Linked DNA regions of Arabidopsis thaliana. The protein of the gene in region 4 interacts with the protein of the main gene of each other region in a pairwise test. Each region holds a gene or a part of one and is shown on either strand. Other genes may lie near its edges. The genes, in order: AT3G22550, ARSK1, AT3G63210 and RAPTOR1.

The links.
Region 1: the proteins of RAPTOR1 (region 4) and AT3G22550 interact in a two-hybrid assay, tested with the Arabidopsis thaliana proteins (one large-scale study listed by BioGRID).
Region 2: the proteins of RAPTOR1 (region 4) and ARSK1 interact in a two-hybrid assay, tested with the Arabidopsis thaliana proteins (one large-scale study listed by BioGRID).
Region 3: the proteins of RAPTOR1 (region 4) and AT3G63210 interact in a two-hybrid assay, tested with the Arabidopsis thaliana proteins (one large-scale study listed by BioGRID).

The regions. Positions count from the first base shown.
Region 1 is NC_003074.8:7,990,869-7,995,387, reverse strand, and holds AT3G22550 (NAD(P)H-quinone oxidoreductase subunit, putative (DUF581)), read left to right. Parts: upstream 1-1,799; 5' UTR 1,800-2,425; intron 2,426-2,576; 5' UTR 2,577-2,582; coding exon 2,583-3,310; intron 3,311-3,485; coding exon 3,486-3,561; 3' UTR 3,562-3,985; downstream 3,986-4,519. UniProt on the Arabidopsis thaliana protein: May act as an adapter to facilitate the interaction of SnRK1 complex with effector proteins, conferring tissue- and stimulus-type specific differences in the SnRK1 regulation pathway.
Region 2 is NC_003071.7:11,191,420-11,196,385, forward strand, and holds ARSK1 (root-specific kinase 1), read right to left. Parts: upstream 3,013-4,966; 5' UTR 2,841-3,012; coding exon 2,430-2,840; intron 2,185-2,429; coding exon 2,049-2,184; intron 1,718-2,048; coding exon 1,581-1,717; intron 1,494-1,580; coding exon 1,370-1,493; intron 1,285-1,369; coding exon 818-1,284; 3' UTR 559-817; downstream 1-558. UniProt on the Arabidopsis thaliana protein: May play a role in the signal transduction pathway of osmotic stress. May be involved in plant defense signaling.
Region 3 is NC_003074.8:23,352,959-23,357,393, forward strand, and holds AT3G63210 (mediator of aba-regulated dormancy protein (DUF581)), read right to left. Parts: upstream 2,523-4,435; 5' UTR 1,949-2,522; coding exon 1,227-1,948; intron 1,147-1,226; coding exon of another isoform or gene 1,131-1,146; coding exon 1,061-1,130; coding exon of another isoform or gene 1,033-1,060; 3' UTR 556-1,032; downstream 1-555. Other genes in the region: AT3G63215 (uncharacterized protein), read left to right, coding at 1,033-1,146, 1,272-1,382. UniProt on the Arabidopsis thaliana protein: May act as an adapter to facilitate the interaction of SnRK1 complex with effector proteins, conferring tissue- and stimulus-type specific differences in the SnRK1 regulation pathway. Involved in seed dormancy control.
Region 4 is NC_003074.8:2,692,397-2,697,067, reverse strand, and holds the start of RAPTOR1 (Regulatory-associated protein of TOR 1), read left to right. Parts: upstream 1-1,667; 5' UTR 1,668-2,156; coding exon 2,157-2,465; intron 2,466-2,829; coding exon 2,830-2,932; intron 2,933-3,043; coding exon 3,044-3,126; intron 3,127-3,205; coding exon 3,206-3,364; intron 3,365-3,455; coding exon 3,456-3,572; intron 3,573-3,683; coding exon 3,684-3,841; intron 3,842-4,405; coding exon 4,406-4,560; intron 4,561-4,657; coding exon 4,658-4,671. Other genes in the region: PYD4 (PYRIMIDINE 4), read left to right, coding at 85-171, 271-314. UniProt on the Arabidopsis thaliana protein: Probable component of the plant TOR kinase pathway that recruits substrates for TOR. Modulates plant cell growth and regulates the activity of ATPK1 kinase in response to osmotic stress.

The DNA.
Region 1 (4,519 bases), 5.3 Mb from region 4:
TTGAATCAACATTAATAAAAAAAGTTAAATATAATTAATATACCGTTTCAATACGGGTTAAATCTTTAATTTATTATTTTTTAAGACCACTAATATTAAACATATCAAATCATCCTAATTTAGAAAAGATTATATAAAACCAAAAATGTTATGGGGTATGTATAATGTTACTATATATAAAATATAAATGTATTAGAGAATGATATAATTTGCAAAACTTTTATATTCTTAAATTTTAAAAATTACTACTTTAAAAAAAAAATCACGGGACGGGTAAAGAAATTATAGAACGAGTTTTATTTTGTAATTGGGTTATATGGTGGATGTATTTGAATCAATATTTATAAAATTTTAAAATATTATTAATATGCTGTTTTAATAGGGGTTACAACTTTAGTTTTTCAACAATTGTCTCATAGATTCGTGTTATAGCCTTACTTAATAACAATTATAAACTGTAAAATATAAATATTTTATAAAAATAAAATTTGCAAATTTTAATATATATTACTTTTAAAAAATAAATCGTCCCGCGGTATACCGCGGGTTAAAATTTAGTCAATTTTTATGGAACAAGAATAAAACCTAAAACATTAAACTTTATGGACCATAGAGTATGTAGTAGCAATTAATAGTGTTTGTTTAAAGTAATGATTATCAAGTTTGCTCATACGAATTTATCACTAGTTTTGGTTTTAAGTAGTGATATTTTTTTCGTGTTATACATATATAATATAACAAGTGTGTAATGTCCACCCAAAGAGACTAGCCAGCTACGAAAGCAAAAGAGATATTCAGTTAAGATTGTGAAATATATTCGTACGTATGATCGTATCTCATTCCATTACGATTCTGAGCGACCGAGTCCACCCACACTTAGCTCCCATGCTAACAATATAGTCATCATCACCACCACAACGTACCTTAACATCATTACACGAGAAAAAGTATATATGAAATAATGATTTTAAAAGAGAACCAAAAGTTCTCGTATTCATCATCTCTATTTGTCTCCCGTTGAAGAAACTAGCTTAGTTCGTGTTTATATGAGTTACTCCCGTTGAAGAAACTGCGGTTAAGAGAAATTTTTGATGGATAAAGTTATACTTATAGTCACGATAAGAAGATATGATCGATAAATCCATATACATATGTGACATTATTTTACTAGCAAAGGATCTCTTTCTGTCTTTCATATCCCATCTATAATTTTAGATGAAAATGAAGTAGAATAATATATTTTGTTTCTACATTTCCATCTCCAAAACAGTCTTCTTCAATATCTTTCTTATTCACACCTTTTAAATATGTAATGTTATCACCTAACAGTAATAGACAATTTACTTAATCACCATATGCAAGTGAGAAGTACATTTTTCTTCTATATTAAATGACATGCAAGACGTAAACAACTTTGCAAACTTCTGTTTTGAAAACGTTTTAGTACACTATAATGTGAATTTCTAATCAAAATACGAAAAGTTATATAATACTATAATACTTAAAATAAATCACATATATTTCAATATTTGTGATAGTACATTAGTACTCCTCCATTGATAGATTAGTCGTAACTAGTACGATATACAACACGAGTATTATTCAACTTCTTTCTCATTAAATTTCTAAAGTTCCTTTTCTCTAAAATAAACAAATAAAATAATATAGAAAGAAAACTATAAGAAAATTCCAAAATAAAATAAAAAGACGAAAGGGTCAGTAGAAAACGACGTGAGTGGTTCCTTGGCATAACCCAAAAAGCAAAATAATAAATCAGCAAAGAATAAAAAGACAAAATTCCTAAAATCAATAATAATTTATACAATAAAACGAATTTAGGAAGTTTCACTGGTGAAGTGGTTTTCTTCACCCACTGATTTCTATTGTAAATCTCTCTCCCTCTATATATGTGATTCATATAAGTATTATTATTTGATAGAGAAGCTAAGTGTGTGTCTCTTTAGTGCTCTCTGTTTTCTTCTGCTTATGAAAAAACTTCATGGCGAATTTTGAGGATATGGAAGAGAATCAGTGGGGATGTTTTGTTTTCTTTTCTCTTTCTCAGTTCATCGAAACTATAACCCACTAAACATACAAAACCAAATTATTTATAAAAAGCAAAAGCAAACAAAAACAAATAAACGGATCAATTTCTTTCTTTTGTTTGTTTCTTCTTCTTTTCTCCAATCTCTAGTGTAACGTTTCATGTCACTTGATAAATAAAATATTTTAGGAAGAAAGTGCGAGAAACTCGGGAGTTATACAAAAAAATAACATTTTTGTAGAAAAAAAGCTCTCGTCTTTTCAGTTACTTTTCTCTTTTGTCACACTTTCATATTTTTTTCTCTAATCATGGAGGCAACAGAATTGCATTAGCTTCATTTTCTCTCATACTTCCACAACCTGTAACTTTCTGATCTTCCAGGTTAGTTCACACAATTTTGCATGATTGAGTTACAAAGTTATGATTTTTATGTGTTATTGAGTTACATGTTATGATCTTTTTGTGTAATTGTTATAAAGTTTTGATTGTTATAAAGTTTTGATCTTTTTTGTGTGTGTGTGTGATTGAGCAGTGAATTATGCTAAAGAAGAGATCAAGAAGCAAGCAAGCTTTAATGGCGGAAACAAACCAGAGTCAGAATCAGAAACAGAGTAAAACGACGCCGTTTCCGAGGCTCTTCACAGCTTTTAGTAGCTTTAAAAGCTTCACTGAAAACGACGCCGTCGCGAGTCCAACTTCAATTCTCGACACCAAACCTTTCTCTGTTTTGAAAAACCCATTTGGATCCGATAACCCGAAAACCCAAGAACCCGAAACCCGTCTCAAACTCGAACCCAAAAGAATCGGACTCGCCATTGTCGATTCTCTAATCCAAGACGAAACACCCGAACCCGGACCGAGATCCGGGACAATTCTATTCGGGTCTCAGCTTCGGATCCGGGTCCCGGATTCTCCGATTTCCTCGTCGGATTTCGGGATCAAAACGAGGAATTCTCAACCGGAGACGAAGAAACCGGGTTCCGAGTCGGGTCTTGGGTCTCCCAGAATCATCTCCGGCTATTTCCCGGCGAGCGATATGGAGTTATCGGAGGATTACACATGCGTGACGTGTCACGGGCCTAACCCGAGAACCATTCATATATTCGATAACTGTATCGTTGAGAGCCAACCCGGCGTCGTTTTCTTCCGGAGCTCCGACCCGGTTAATGAATCGGATTCGGATTATTCCCCACCCGACAGTTTTCTCAGTTGTTGCTGTAACTGTAAGAAGAGTCTTGGGCCTCGTGATGACATTTTCATGTACAGGTTTGGCTTATTTTCATATTTTTACATTTCAATTAAATGGTGACATTTACAATGTGAAATTTAATATAAATTATGAGAAAATTAATATTTAGAATGGCTAATTAATTTAATTTTTTAATTAATAATTTTTAAAAATAAATAAATAAGTAATTTTTGTTTTGATTTTAATTTGCAGGGGAGATAGAGCTTTCTGTAGCAGTGAATGCAGGTCCATAGAGATGATGATGTCAGAGGAAAATGATACTAAATGAAATAAGTTTTTATTTGAGCTATATATAAAAAAAAAGTTATGATAATGACTATGATTAATAAAACGTTAGATATGGTGAATTTTGTTTAGTTGCTTTTGTTTTGGTTTGGAGAAGAGTTTGGTATCGGTATCTATGTGTATTATGTGTCTACATGCATAATCATATATACATGTTTTACTTTAATGGTTACTTTTAATCTTTAATAAACAGTAGAGATCACAATAACTCAATTCCATTTGCGGTGTCAAGACAGAAAACTAAAACACGAGCATCAAAATTCAAGAAGGAGAAGACACATAATTCTTAGTTTCGTGTTTTGATACTCGGACATGTAAATTAGTCTATTTCTCGTCTTCAATGTTTGAAATCGTGATTTGAAAATCTCCTTAGATTACTAACTAGTCACCGAGCTATAGATGCATGTATGATTTTCTTACTATAAGTAACTATGTTTTGATATGAAGAAGATAACAAACAATGAAATGACAATCGAACAATGTAAAAGACAGTTGCAAAGATATGTCACATTGAGGATATTCAATGGCTAGTTACGTGGAAATGATGTTATAGATCAAGAAGCTCTATGTGTTTTCACATCCTTCTTTTGTTTTTTCTTTATCTAAGAGACAATGTGATATAAACAACTTGTAGTACTATTTCGAAGAGCATTACACTATTATATAGCCCTCATCTAATTTGAATTGATACATCAAAATCCTAATAATTTATGTCTTACTTGAGTGACTATCTTAAATGAGCACATTGAATTTTATTTGAGATAATAATTATACAAGAATGACTGACACCGTTTCGTTGTCAACATTAAAAACTCTGATTATTTTTTCCAAAAAATGATATAAATTAGTGAGGTACATTATGTTAACCATTAAAATTTGTATAAGATCCTCACCACTCCAATTATAAACAAATTTAAAGCAATTTTGAAAGCTTAGTTGAC
Region 2 (4,966 bases), on a different chromosome or scaffold from region 4:
CAACATTTATTTATTAACTACTAATGACACTTAATCCTTATCACTAAGGGTTTTAATTGTAAATTTTTGGGCTTTGATTACTTGCTTTTATTAGGTTAACTATTTCCTTTCAACTAATTTTTTTTTTTAATAAGATTTCTCTATATATTTTGAATATCCTGAATTAGCTTATTATTTTAAAAATCTAATTAAAGTTTATACAATTATATTTATATTTAGGAAAAATAATCTTCAAACTGATTGTTATTGTTAATTTGCTTTGAATTTAAGTCATCTAGGGAAAAAAGTATACTTATTGTTGATATAGATAAAATAAATATAAAAATTTAATAATTTATTACATTTATACAGCATTCTGAAACTCAAATATACCCAAACGGTTTCATATGTAATCTTGAAAACGAGAGTGCTCCGAGGAGCTCATAATTTCATTGGAATCACCAAGAATAATCTAGGGGTAGCTGCCGTACCATACATGATTTGATTTTATTGCAATTCCAATCTCCATAATAACCAACCAAGTGATCATCTACTATGTTTTAAAGAGCGAAATAACTTCAACGTTGTCCGCCCAACAAACTGGTGTATATATATATGATTTACAAACATTTATTTTATATTTCTTGTACATGACTCTTTTGTACAAAGTATTTTTGAATTATGTAAAGGAAATTAATCTAAAATACCAGAGAACTAGGATACTTATAACATCACCTTTCTTTCCTTCAAATTTTTGGAAGAATGGTCATAACTTAAGATAAGAATTGCGTTCATAGAATATGAATGCTTAATAATTCATATGAGAAAATGATGTATTTCAAATGCCATCGTTTTGCTTTGCCTTGGATTCCTTGTAAACGAGAGAATCTGAATAAGCGATGTTCACACGTCTTTTGCCTTTACGGTGATGCCTAAACTTATTTATATCAACAAACTTCTTTCCTTCTTTGTTGTTATTGCCATCATGCTTCCTAATATCAACTTCTTGGATAGACTCTAAGACCTTAACCACCTCACACATTGTAGGTCTATACTTAGGATGTTGGCTTAGACACTTGTATGCTAGGGAAGCAGCTACCTGAGCCGCTTCTGTTTTGTGCTGGTTCGCGAGCCTCGGGTCAATTATCCTCTCTAACTTTCTTTGGTCCCTTAACATAGGCCGCGCCCATTCCACTAGGCTTTGTTCCCTCCGTGTTCGGGTATTGTCCATTGACCGTTTTCCGGTTATCAGCTCTAACAAAACTACTCCAAAACTGTATACATCATTCATCGTCGTCAAATGACCTACAACACATGTAAACCATTAAAGACATATCTCAAAGAATATCGCTTCACGGTAAAAGAAATAAATTCCTTACAAAAATGTTACCAGTCATGATATATTCGGGCGCAGCATAACCTTGTGTTCCCATCACTCGGGTAGTTACATGCGTATGTTCGCCTTCAGGTCCATCTTTGGCTAGACCGAAGTCAGATAATTTGGCGTTATAGTCCTGAAATATCAAAGAGTCAGTTGAGAAATACCACTTTAATTTGATTTAATAGTGGATACAAAATTTAAAAAGGAAAAAAAAACTCACGGAGTCTAACAATATGTTAGAGGTTTTAAAGTCTCTGTAGATGACAGGTTTCTCTGCTTCATGGAGAAAAGCTAAACCTTTGGCGGCTCCGAGAGCTATCTTCATCCTTATTCCCCAAGCCATTGCTAAGCTATTTCCTGTCCCAATTCACACACTTTTCAAAGTTAGTAATACTATTGAATATTATCTAAATTATAAAAAATATATAGTTTTTTAAGAAGTTATTAATGTAGTGTACGACCCATAAATAAAGTAAGAACTTGACGAAGTTAACGTGAACCATATGGATTCTTTTCTTCAATATTTTTTATTCTTGTCATTCTATAACTAAAACGTAATTAAAGTCTTCGTGGAGTTGTTCTTTTAGGTTTAAACAGAAAAAATGTTTTGTAACGCGGTCTAGAACATATATAGCAAAAATTGAAACAACTTTTAGCAAGTTAGGTAAAAATATAGTAGATGACGTACTTCGAAAGAGCTGATTCTCCAAGCTACCTCGAGGCATGTACTCATAAACAAGAACTCTTTGCTCTTCTTCACAACAAAACCCTATCAGCTTCACAAGATGTTTGTTACTTAGTTGTCCCAAAAATAATATCTCCGCCTGCAAACAAAAATAAATTTTGTATACACTGAAAAAAAAAACTTTATGAAGAAATTTCACAAAAGATATATATATTTAATAACATACTGAAAAATGGCCAGATTCATATAGCTAATTAAGAAGATAAACCAAAATTCAAAAAATATATAAAATAATCGAGACGGTCTTCGTAATTAAATTGTTCCTTGTGAATAGAAAAGTCTTGAATGTAGACAAAAACATACATAAAGAGAAAGAAATGTTACCAGCCATTCTCTATGGCCTTGATGGCCATGAAGATCAAGAGCCTTTACAGCAACCGGTTGGGCTTCGATACCCGGTTTAACCTTATCATCAATAAACCCTTTGTAAACCGGCCCAAACCCTCCTTCCCCCAACATGTTACTTCTAGAGAAATTATGCGTAATCACTCTCAGCTCAGACAACGTGAACAAACGAAGCTTCTGCGATGTGAAGGAGTGAGAGAGATCATCCATAACCGACATGGGCGAGCTTGGATCGCTTATGTCCGATAAAGACAGCCTCTTGAACGCTGGACAAGTTCTTATTTTCATTACAGCCTTCTCCCCTCCTTCGTATTTGCTTGCGTTCTTTGCCTTGTAACACCCCAAGAACAGAGATGTCAATGATGTTTTCTTCTTCTTGAACACTGCCATTTTCAACTTCTTCTTTTGTGTTATTTGGGGAAAAAATGGAGAAAGTTAGTCTTTTACTCCTTTTGATGAATCTTTTGTAGAGTGCGTAGGTTTAGAAATTAAGGATGTTCTAGTTAACCTACTTGTCTTCAAAGTCCTCTAATTTATAGTAGTTGTTGTGTCTTATTCGTACTGACCGACCTTTGAGTTTTCAAATTTATTTATATATACAAAAAGTTTGCTTTTTTTTTTTTGTATTAGTTGTATAAAAATGTTGAAGTTATTTTTGGTGGATATATTTATATTGTTCTAAGCTCTATGCTGATATTTTTTTCAGGAGAAACACGATTCCATGTTCACATTAATCCTCACAATAATATTGAAAAATAACGCAAGTTGTTTTCTTTTTCTAATCACAATATAATCAATATTATTGATTATAAATTCATTCAGTTGTTTGTACTTAGACTTCATCTCACCAAAGTCTACGGGCTATATAATTTTGCTTATATATTCAATGAATTGAAAATTGTCTCTCGCTCTACATTCCAAATACGATCTCTCGTTTCATTATAGACTTAGTTCTGTCTAATAGTTTTTGTTGTAATAATTTAGGTAATTTAAAAATGATTTTGTGAATTTAATGGTGTCTCTCTATATTCCACTATCTCGATTTCTAGTTTCATAAGACTAATTAGTTATTTACTAATAGTTTTTGTTCTAATAATTTAGGCAATTAATTTAAAAATGATTTGGTATACATTTCAGGCTGGCAAATAAATATTACGTATAAAGAAGATTTGATTCGCCTTGTTGAAAGGAGAATGAGATGATTAGGCCATAATTGGATGTCCGTTGACTTTGTTTCTTCCATGATTAAAATTTAAGAAGTAAGGAAGAGAAACAAATTTGAACCATTGATTTTGTTACTCTTAACTAAATAATCATTTATTCAATAACTAAAGGTCGGTTGGTCTTCAGGTACGAACGTTCTTCTATACTAACTTGTAAATTGTAAACGTAACAGATTGTGCAGTAGAGATTGCGGTTACAAATGTTTGACAACGATCACAAAAATTGTTTAACACCGCGTATTCTTCCGCCAACGTTTGCGGCAGCGGGTGGTTAAAAATTACACTATTTTTAAGTTTTAAATTCAAATAAATTTAATAACTTTTTTGACTCTTGGAGTCATGCTCTGAACACAAATGATTCATTTTCCGGAGAACATAAGTGCATTGTATCCGTCTAATCGTCCCAACATACTTCACTATAAATGTAATTTAATACTAACAATTAAATTGAAGTGTTGTTCGTCGCATGCATGTATGTACGTACAATAATTATATAGTTTCATTATCATAGAACTGTCGGGGAAATTGTGAATCATCACCAGCCGCCACATGAACTTATTTGCCGTTGTTCTGGTTTAAGGCTGGTAAGATTTATTCGGCGGCTGTAGGCCTGTAGCCCTTGAAATATGGTAGACAAGATCGTCCATATAATTAAGATTTTGTTTTTCACTTCTAAATTAATTAATGGGTGACTTGGGCGATTTTGTATTGTTGTTTAGTGGCTAGAAAGAAAACTTTTAACGATAAATTTACTTATGCAAAAATTATATTAGTTTAGTTTAGCAACTTTATATGTACTTAATTAGTAAAATAATACATTTAAATGTAAACTATTTGTACATATTAATGTTGTCCAAACAATATGCACTTTTTGAATTTTTTTACTGTATTCTCCACCTAGTTTTTCTAATTCATCCAAGCATTTTGATGAATTTGCATGTCTCCATAGATGAATTAGTATCTACTATCTCTAAAAACTCAATCTCCACCGAAGATATTGCTTAACCAATGTGCTCCTAGACCAAATCCAAAACCTTAGCCGCTTCATACTTAACATCCACTTTTGTAGCATCCTCAAACTGTTTTACAACCTTTTCAACCGGGACACAATCGCCTTGTCTTAGTAGTGAAGCGTAGGTTAATCATGGATGATGATTTTTGTTCTTTGACAACATCTGGTAAGGTTTTTGGTTTATGGCTCACCCTTTTTACTTTTTCGGTCTTTCTTATATAGTGTTTTGGTGGGTTTTTTCTCGTTCATTTTTCACGACCTTCTTATCCTATTACTAGGGT
Region 3 (4,435 bases), about 21 Mb from region 4:
TCTGAACACATTACCAGATTAATTTTGGTATCTCCTATATGGCTATATCTAGTATATACGACCTTCCTCTCATTAGTCTTAACATCTACTCCAACATCCATGTTGCATATATTAAGGTACTGGCTGATTCGAATAATAAACTTAAACATGATACTGACACAACTTCACACTTTGTTTTTACAATTAAATGGTTCCGTGAGATTGGGCCTTCTAGCTGCTCTGATATTAAATTTACGAGTCTATTCCAAAAAAAAAAAAGTGATGAGGGTCCTCAACATTTAGTTATCTGTCTTGCAAATTGGGCACGCCACCGAGACATGCAATCATCCCTGGGACTCTAACCTCATTACTTGCGGACCCTATTAGAAACGGCCCATATCTGGCCCGTATTATTAGGGACCGGCCTAATTATGCATGATATAGCCCATCGATATTTAACCACTCAAAATCCCCTCCCCTGCATCTATGGTTTGATCTGGTTTGGTTTGATTGCGATTAGAGTTATTATATACTTACTTGTAAACACCAAATCAGACTCATTTCACAGGATAAAAACACGAGTTCAATGGCTTCCCAGAAACCTTTCTCGACTGAAAAATGAGTCTGAGTTCAGAATCTGAGGTAAACGGTAACAAAACTTGATATATTGTTGTAACTTGGCGCTGTCAAAGTTAACAAAATTAAATCAAAAAGCAAATGGCCTTATAGCAATAACATTTTCCCTCTACAAGACCGCATAGAGCCACGACGAATGTTAGGTTATGGAAAAGACTGATGCTTTTGATATTTTCTGATTCAGATGGCAGTATTCTGCAAGTTTATGATATTATTGAGCCCTCCGAGTCACTCACTCTCATGACACAAAGAAAAAAGTTATCAACTCTCTCTCTATCTTTCACATATCTGCAGGCGAGAAAGGTTATGACTAGAAATACAAATACCCCCACCCAAAAAAAGAAAGAAAGAGAAGAAGCATCAGAGAACTAAAAGAATAATACAAAAGTAGATGATGCTGTGACAAAATCAATAAAAATGAAAAGAGATGGAGAAGGAGTGCTAGCTAGGTCTCCATTTGATCAAGAAGCATCTCCTGGTACCTGCACTCGCTGCTGCAAAAACCTTTCTCTCCCCTGCACCACAACCATTGTGATTAAGTTTAGTTTTGGAACCACTCTATGATCTGATTAAAGTCAAATACATAGATAAAAGATTGTGGAGGTACGAACCTGTATATGTAGATGTCCTGTTTCTGGTCAAGATTCTTCTTGCAGGTGAAGCAACGGCTTAGAAAACTCTCGGTGCTCTTGGTCTCCATGGCTGGTTGGGGTAAAGGAACAGAGCAAGGAGTAGCCTCCACGAAAACAGAGTTGTCGAAGATATGAGTGATGGTTGGGTTAGGACCGTGAGAGATGACGCGCGTGTAGTCCTCCGTCTGGTCAATCTCGCTCACTGCTAAGACCTTCGTTTGGACACAAGGACTAAGTTGACAAGGAGGATATCTGATGCCGGTTTTAGTTCCAAAATCAGCTGATGATGGGATCTGGACTCTGAGCTTTGACCCGAAAAGGACCATCTTGTTGACAGGTTTTCTAGAGTGGTCTCTGTTACTGTCTCCGTCTTTCACGAGATCGGCTAGGCCAAAGACGTCTGGAGAGTGAAAACGCTGGGGATTAGGGATAGTTGGCTCGAAATAGGAAACGGGTTTAGGGTTTTTGGAGGAGAAGATGGATGGGTTAGCTTCGAGTATAGACGTAGGGCTAACGAGTGAGAAATCAGAGTCAAAGGGAGTCATCATCATCTTAGAAGTGAAAAACCTAAACTTGGGAGAGCTAAAGAGAGATGGTGAGCAGTGGCAAGTGTTAGGCTTTGGAGGTGGAGGTTGATCAGCCATTAACAGAGATGTTTGTTTCTTAGTCGTCACGGCTGCTCTAGGTTTGTTTCTAAGCATAGTTAAAGACCGGTGAGGGTAAGGATCATAACTCAGTAGCTTCCATGGAGAGAGGAAAGCAATGAGTCTGCGTAAGAGAAAATATCTAAAATGAAAGAGAAGAAGAATAGAGAGAATTTGGTACAATTATTGAGAAACTCTGACTGCTTCTGGTATTAATGGGGTCTCTCACTCCTATGAAATGATGATCCTCTCCTCACTCGCAAAAATCAGATTAAAAGTTGCTTTCACTTATCTCTTTCCTCTCTTCTTTATTCCTTCCAAAGAGCGAGAGAGAGAGAGTGATCTCGAGAGACGGGACGTTGTAGATTTAACCAAGAAATGCATGCAACTTTACGGATTTACCCCTTACATTTATTAACACATAGAGATCTCAATTATTTTCGATCCATTATTCATATTAGGGACCGGATATGATTGAATGTGTATCGTACTCTCTTTTTTTTGTCGTCGTGTATTTTAACAACAACATACTACATTTTGGGTCGACGATAAAAGATTGGAAACATCTTTTGCAAGATTATCGAATTTGTACTCTCTCTTTATTTTTGTTGCATGTACAAACTTTTATTTAGTTTATTAGGTATACACTTGAACGGCGATACATTCATTATTTGTGCATTGATGTTTGGGCCTCTGAAACACAGGCTCTCCTTTTATTTTATACTACTATTTTTCATTTTTGTAAAAAAAACTGTGAGTTATTTATTTCTTACAATTTGTATCCATTATTATATAATACGGCATTTTGTCATTATTTCGTTTGTCTTTCTCAAATCATAATTCACTTTCATTTGGGTTTCTTGTTTTATTAATCAAAGAATCAGTGACGTTATTTAAAAATGTAGGAACAATAATCAGTGAATAATGTACATGTTAATCTATACTACTAAATATTTTATAAACAGTTTGTGGATAAAAAACAAATGTAATCAGAGGGGGGTCCACAGTTGCACCTGCTTTGCTTAATCCAATAATTAAGTTCTAGATAAGCGCCACGTGTGTTTGTCTACTAGTAAACGTTTGATTGAATGGTCTTGATGCGTTTTACTCCATTACAAGACAAATTATATAATAATAATCACTTATTTGACCCAAAAAGTTATATAACTCGTCGAACCACTTTTATTGTTGTTGATCTTGTTTTTCTCGAATCCCATCTAACTATCGCATTTTCATTGTTTAAGCTCGTCAACTTCTGATTCATACCAAGATTCAAGAAAAAACAAAAAGAGTTTCAAGTTGCAAGATTATGTATAATCATAACTTCACTTACAAATAATCAACGCAAAAGAAAACATAAATATTACTTGGTAGCCTAGTAGGGAAAGAAAAGTAACGTATTCGGATATAATACGATAGAGGAAGGAATTAGTGATAGACCCACGGTGGGGCTAAAAGGATGTGGACAGGAGTGTGTAGGTCCTCTCCTCCTCCTCCTCTACGGTTTTCGCTATTTCTATGACGTTGTGATCATATTGGCCTTTTCTTCTCCCCCTGTCGATTCAAGCTTTTATTTTCTATGTTTTGTTTAGCCAAGGAAATTTTGTGTATTTGTGTCTTGTTTTCATGCCTCAAGGTCTCTTCTTGCCTCAATTGGGTTTCTCTTTTTTTTTTTTTTTTTCTTTCGGATAAATCTAATTTTGTGAATATCCATCTGATTAATTTTCTTACAAATAAGAAGAAACAAATAGCGACTACTCATCCATATATGCCATTGAATGTGCTATTTCTTTTTAATGTAATGAGTGTGTCCATCGATTCCGTAATTGTGTTTGTAACCCATTCAGTCTAACAACTTTGATCCCTTAATCACTACGACTACTACCAGAAGCATACGTATATGTTTTGACTCCCAATCCATAGACGTGACTCTTGATAGATTGATTTCCTTCTAAACCACCTGACGTAGAGGTTATAAAATATAATTGGAGTGGAATCAGCACTAATCATTCATTTGATTCGATACTGAAATTTTTATATTTCTTTCCATTTCATGATTTCTTTGATGACTCGCCATCTTTAATCATGGTTATTATTAATTCGAAAGTGGCACCGATATATTGTGTTTATCAAGGATATAGTCATATCACCCTAATTACCAAAGATAAAGAAAGCAAATGAGCAAGATAATGAGAGGTCCATTTTCTTAAATCATTGCTTCTTTGTCAACATGTCTTAAATCCGAATCATTACTCTTATACACTACAAAATACTCCTTAGAGCTTGAATACCACAATTTTGTTTTTCTGTTCAATGACCAAATATCTCCATGTTCAAACCCATATTGCTCTTTCAGATTGTTTAAGGCCCAACACAAAATAACTTATGCAACCTGTCCAAACCCAACCTGATATCATTCCCACATATAGCCCAATCAATAGACCTATTTTTTTTTTTTTTTTTTCACCAGACTCATAAATGATATTTTCTCAAGACATAAATCTGCTATTCGTTTATAGACAATAACCAGGCTTTGATGACATT
Region 4 (4,671 bases):
CAAGTGAAATTGATCACTCTCATCATATAAAGTTGATACTTATGCATTTAAGATAGTGTTTAATACAAATCTTTTGGTATCAAGAAATGGGAGTGTTGGTGGGGAAAGGTGGATTCTATGGGAATGTCTTCAGAATCACTCCTCCTCTCTGCTTCACCCTCTCCGACGCTGGTTAGCTCCTTAGTTTAACATATATATCTTCAAATTGGTTTCTTTTTGTTTCATTTTTTTATTCATGATTTATGTTGTTTCAAATCTTGTATTTTGTAGATTTCCTCGTGGATGTGATGGATCACGCCATGTCCAAGATGTGATTTACTATCTTTATCCGTTCTCTAATGATCACTCACCCTTGTATGTGTATATAAATAACACAATACATCATAAAGTAGAATTACAATTGGTGTTTACCGAAATATATCACAGATGCAAGTATATGTAACTAAATGTACAGTACTGTATACACTTGATAGAATCTACAAATAAATAAAAAACTCGCTGCTAATGATATTCCACAAATACATATATTGATCCGAAGTTTCGAGTTTAGAGTAAAACTTGAATGATACACCTGTGGGGCAAAACAGTTGGTCATCAAAGACGAGGAAGTGGTAGAAATGGCGGCGCCGCGGCGGAGTAGGAAAACGATGTCCGGAGAGCTGTCCTGATCGCGGAAACGAGACTCGTCAGCACGAATATAAGTTCTTCAAGTATGCATAGTGTCTTTCTTATCATCGAATCTTCTTGTTTTCTCGATGCGAGATTCCCAAGTGAGAGAGAGGGAGTTGTGATATTTTTCTGCTGACTTTTAGATATATATGGCCTTTGATAATGTTATTCAGACAAACAAAGTGTCAGCTTGATGTTTGTGTCCAAAATTGATAATATAATGGAATAATTGCAAAACGGAACCTGAAGTTTTGATTAACATGGAATTTGAACCCAATATTTTTTCCCTACACCAAATTTTTAGTTTTTCGGTTTTCATTTTTTTACCAACTACAATAAACCCTAGATGAATTCGGTTTAGAAGACCAGACATTGCTATGTAAGAGTAGAAAAACCGTTGGTGTTTAGATTACACTAATTTAAACGTTATAACACAAAACTGATTAAAACATAAATATACTTATGAAGCGTGTGCAATGATGATCCCTTCATGTACCCCGTTGTACGGAATCCTAGAGGTGATTCGAAGAATTTATGGTAACTCACGTAACAAAGTGTCAGCTAAGTAATTTATGGTTACGAAAATACAATTGTCTCGTTTAAAAAAAAATTAATATAGTTTTAAAAAATCTAATATCGTTTTTAAATTTAATATCATTTCTCTGTTACTAGTTTAGTAGCTTGAATTTTTGTTTTCGTAATTAAACTAGACTGATTTTTTAAATTTAGATTTAGACCGTGATTAGAATAAAAGTGAGTTTTAAGTTGCATTTTAATCAAAGAATCAGATTGAATTTGCGATTAACTTCTCAGTTAATTAGTCGATCCATTGATGGTGTTCTTTGAATTTGTTTCTCAATGATGCATACAAAATTTCAATTTCCACATTTTAAACATAAATTAATTTTAAAATTATAGATATTTAGTATACCTCTCAATCTTATAATATTAGTATTTAATAACATTGCATTAAAGTTAGTAATTAATTAGAGTGGATTTTTGATCTGAAGAGGGTAAAACTAAAAACGGAAAGGAGAAAAAGAATGAAAGAGAAGTGGAAAGAAAACGCAAATGCATTGAAGACTTTCCCTTTGTCTCTCTCTTTGACAAAATCCCAATTTTCGCATCCTCACTTTCTCCTCTGCCTTTTTTTTTTCTCTTCTGCCGCCACCACCACCACCACTGTTAATTCGCCGCCGCTTCCACATCAATCGCCGTCGTAGCCAATCATCATCGTTCTTCATCCTCCGCTTCTCCTGATTCTTAGGGTTTCCGCTTCCGCTTCTCTGTCGAGGGTTTTTCGAGCTGGATTCTCTGCTCCTGCGCCGCTGGTGCAGCGGCTTTGTTGATTGATCTGGATTTCTCCGTCTTCCTTTCTATTTTATTTTCTGTATCTCGCACAATCCAAACAAAAAAGCTAGGGCTGAGGATTTGATTTGCGTGATTTCTGGGGGTGTGTTAATTCGGGGGTGTGTTCTCCGATTTGGATGGCATTAGGAGACTTAATGGTGTCTCGGTTCTCGCAATCTTCTGTTTCTTTGGTCTCCAATCACCGTTACGACGAAGACTGTGTCTCTAGTCACGATGACGGTGATTCCCGGAGGAAGGATTCTGAGGCTAAGAGCAGTAGTAGCTACGGGAATGGTACAACGGAGGGAGCCGCCACCGCCACCAGCATGGCTTACTTGCCTCAGACTATTGTGCTCTGCGAGCTTAGACACGACGCATCCGAGGCTTCTGCTCCCTTGGGGACTTCTGAGATCGTATTGGTCCCCAAATGGCGGCTTAAAGAACGAGTAAGTTTTCAATCGAACATTGTTGGTAGCTGCAAGTATGTTAGACTAGCTTGTTTAGTGCAACTGACGATGTAAGAGGCGGGTAGAACAACTACATTTTCTAGAATTCATTATAAAATCTGCTATTGTTCGCTACTATGTTAGGTAATGTTAACCGAGGAGGGTTGTGTACTTGTGTTAACGTTTTTATTGTGGAGCTGAACCTTAAAGATACATGTTTCCGTTTCGTTTCAATCTCAATGTCTCTTCAGAAATAATTCTATTTCTCGTCGGAAGCTAAATCAGGTGTTCATTGGATCTGATAGCTAGGGGAGTTCTTGCAAGTCTCATATTCTTTGTTAACTTTTCTTCTTCTTCTTTGCAGATGAAAACAGGATGTGTAGCTTTAGTTCTGTGTTTAAACATTACTGTTGATCCGCCGGATGTTATAAAGATATCTCCTTGTGCTAGAATCGAGGCATGGATAGGTTGAAACTTTGGCCTACTCAATCCTATTACACTCTTTCTTTTCTGTGTTTATCCCTTTTTTTTGTCGCCACAGTCAATTTTATCTCTATTTTTTTTCTTTCTGATGGCAGATCCATTTTCTATGGCACCGCCTAAAGCTCTCGAGACAATTGGAAAAAATTTGAGCACTCAGTATGAGAGATGGCAACCCAGGGTGACAATTTTTTTCCCTGCACCCTATCATTATTGTTTTGTTAAGTTACGCTTTTCTTATTTATTTTATGATTTCTCAGGCCCGCTATAAGGTTCAGCTTGATCCGACAGTAGATGAGGTGAGGAAGCTGTGCTTGACTTGTCGGAAATATGCAAAGACCGAGAGAGTTCTATTCCATTATAATGGGCATGGTGTGCCAAAACCTACAGCTAATGGTGAAATTTGGGTATTTAACAAGGTCTGTTTTTTACTAGCGTTTTCTTTTCTCTACCATGTTCTTGTTCCTTCTCGTCTGTTACCACGAGCTGATTGATTCTCTGTTTGAGCAGAGTTATACACAGTACATTCCCTTGCCAATCAGTGAACTTGATTCCTGGTTGAAGACACCCTCCATCTATGTTTTCGACTGCTCTGCTGCTAGGATGATTCTGAATGCCTTTGCTGAGGTAAAGGAAACAACCACTTCACTTATAGAACACATCTCCTGTCGAGTTTAGGACTCGAGTCTGTAATTTTCGTTCCATAAGTTGATAAAATTCATATACTCTTTACGCCAGCTTCATGATTGGGGTTCTTCTGGTTCCTCTGGATCCTCAAGGGACTGCATTCTACTTGCTGCTTGTGATGTACATGAGACACTTCCTCAGAGCGTTGAGTTTCCAGCTGATGTTTTTACGTCTTGCCTGACAACGCCCATTAAAATGGCGTTGAAATGGTAAATCATCATTCCATCTCTGACTTTTTTTGCGTACTCAGATGTCATGTTTTCTTCCTACAAAATGTAGTTTAAGTTCCGTCTAGCTAAGTTTATAAAATCTTAGCTAGTATGTTCTCGCTTCATCATGAGGTAAGATCAAAACTTTTCGGCAGCATTTTGGATGGGACCAAAGATGGATCATAGAGTTTTGTTTAGAAGACCTTGTGCGTATGTTTTAGTTTTGTGGGGTGGTAAAACAGCATATCATAAGAGTTGTGAGATAACCAGGACTGATAATACCTTTAGCTGCCAAGTCACTTTGCATATGGAAGTTTGCTGATGTATGGTTTGCAATAATTCTTTCTGTCCTGGCTAAGTATTTTTGATGATACCAAAAGATTCACGATATCATCCTGATTGATAGCCTTCTCCTTCTGTGATATTTATTCTATAACTAATTGCTACTGAGTCTGTGCGGTTTCAATTCTGGGCTTCTTTTTAACCTTTTTCCAGTAAACAGATCACCATTTTATGTAGTTCAGTTTAGCTTGCAGCTTTTTCACAAGAGGATTTCCATTGCAGGTTCTGCAGGCGTTCGCTTCTGAAAGAAATTATCGATGAATCACTTATCGACAGGATTCCAGGCCGGCAAAACGATCGTAAGACATTGTTAGGGGAGTTGAACTGGATTTTCACAGCAGTGACGGATACAATTGCTTGGAATGTGCTTCCTCATGGTACTTCTCCAAACTTTCTGCATAATTTATCAAGGGTAAATCTTCTTCAAGTTGACTTCTTTTCTGTGTCCTCATGAATGATAGTTTTACCCTGCAGAACTTTTCCAGAGA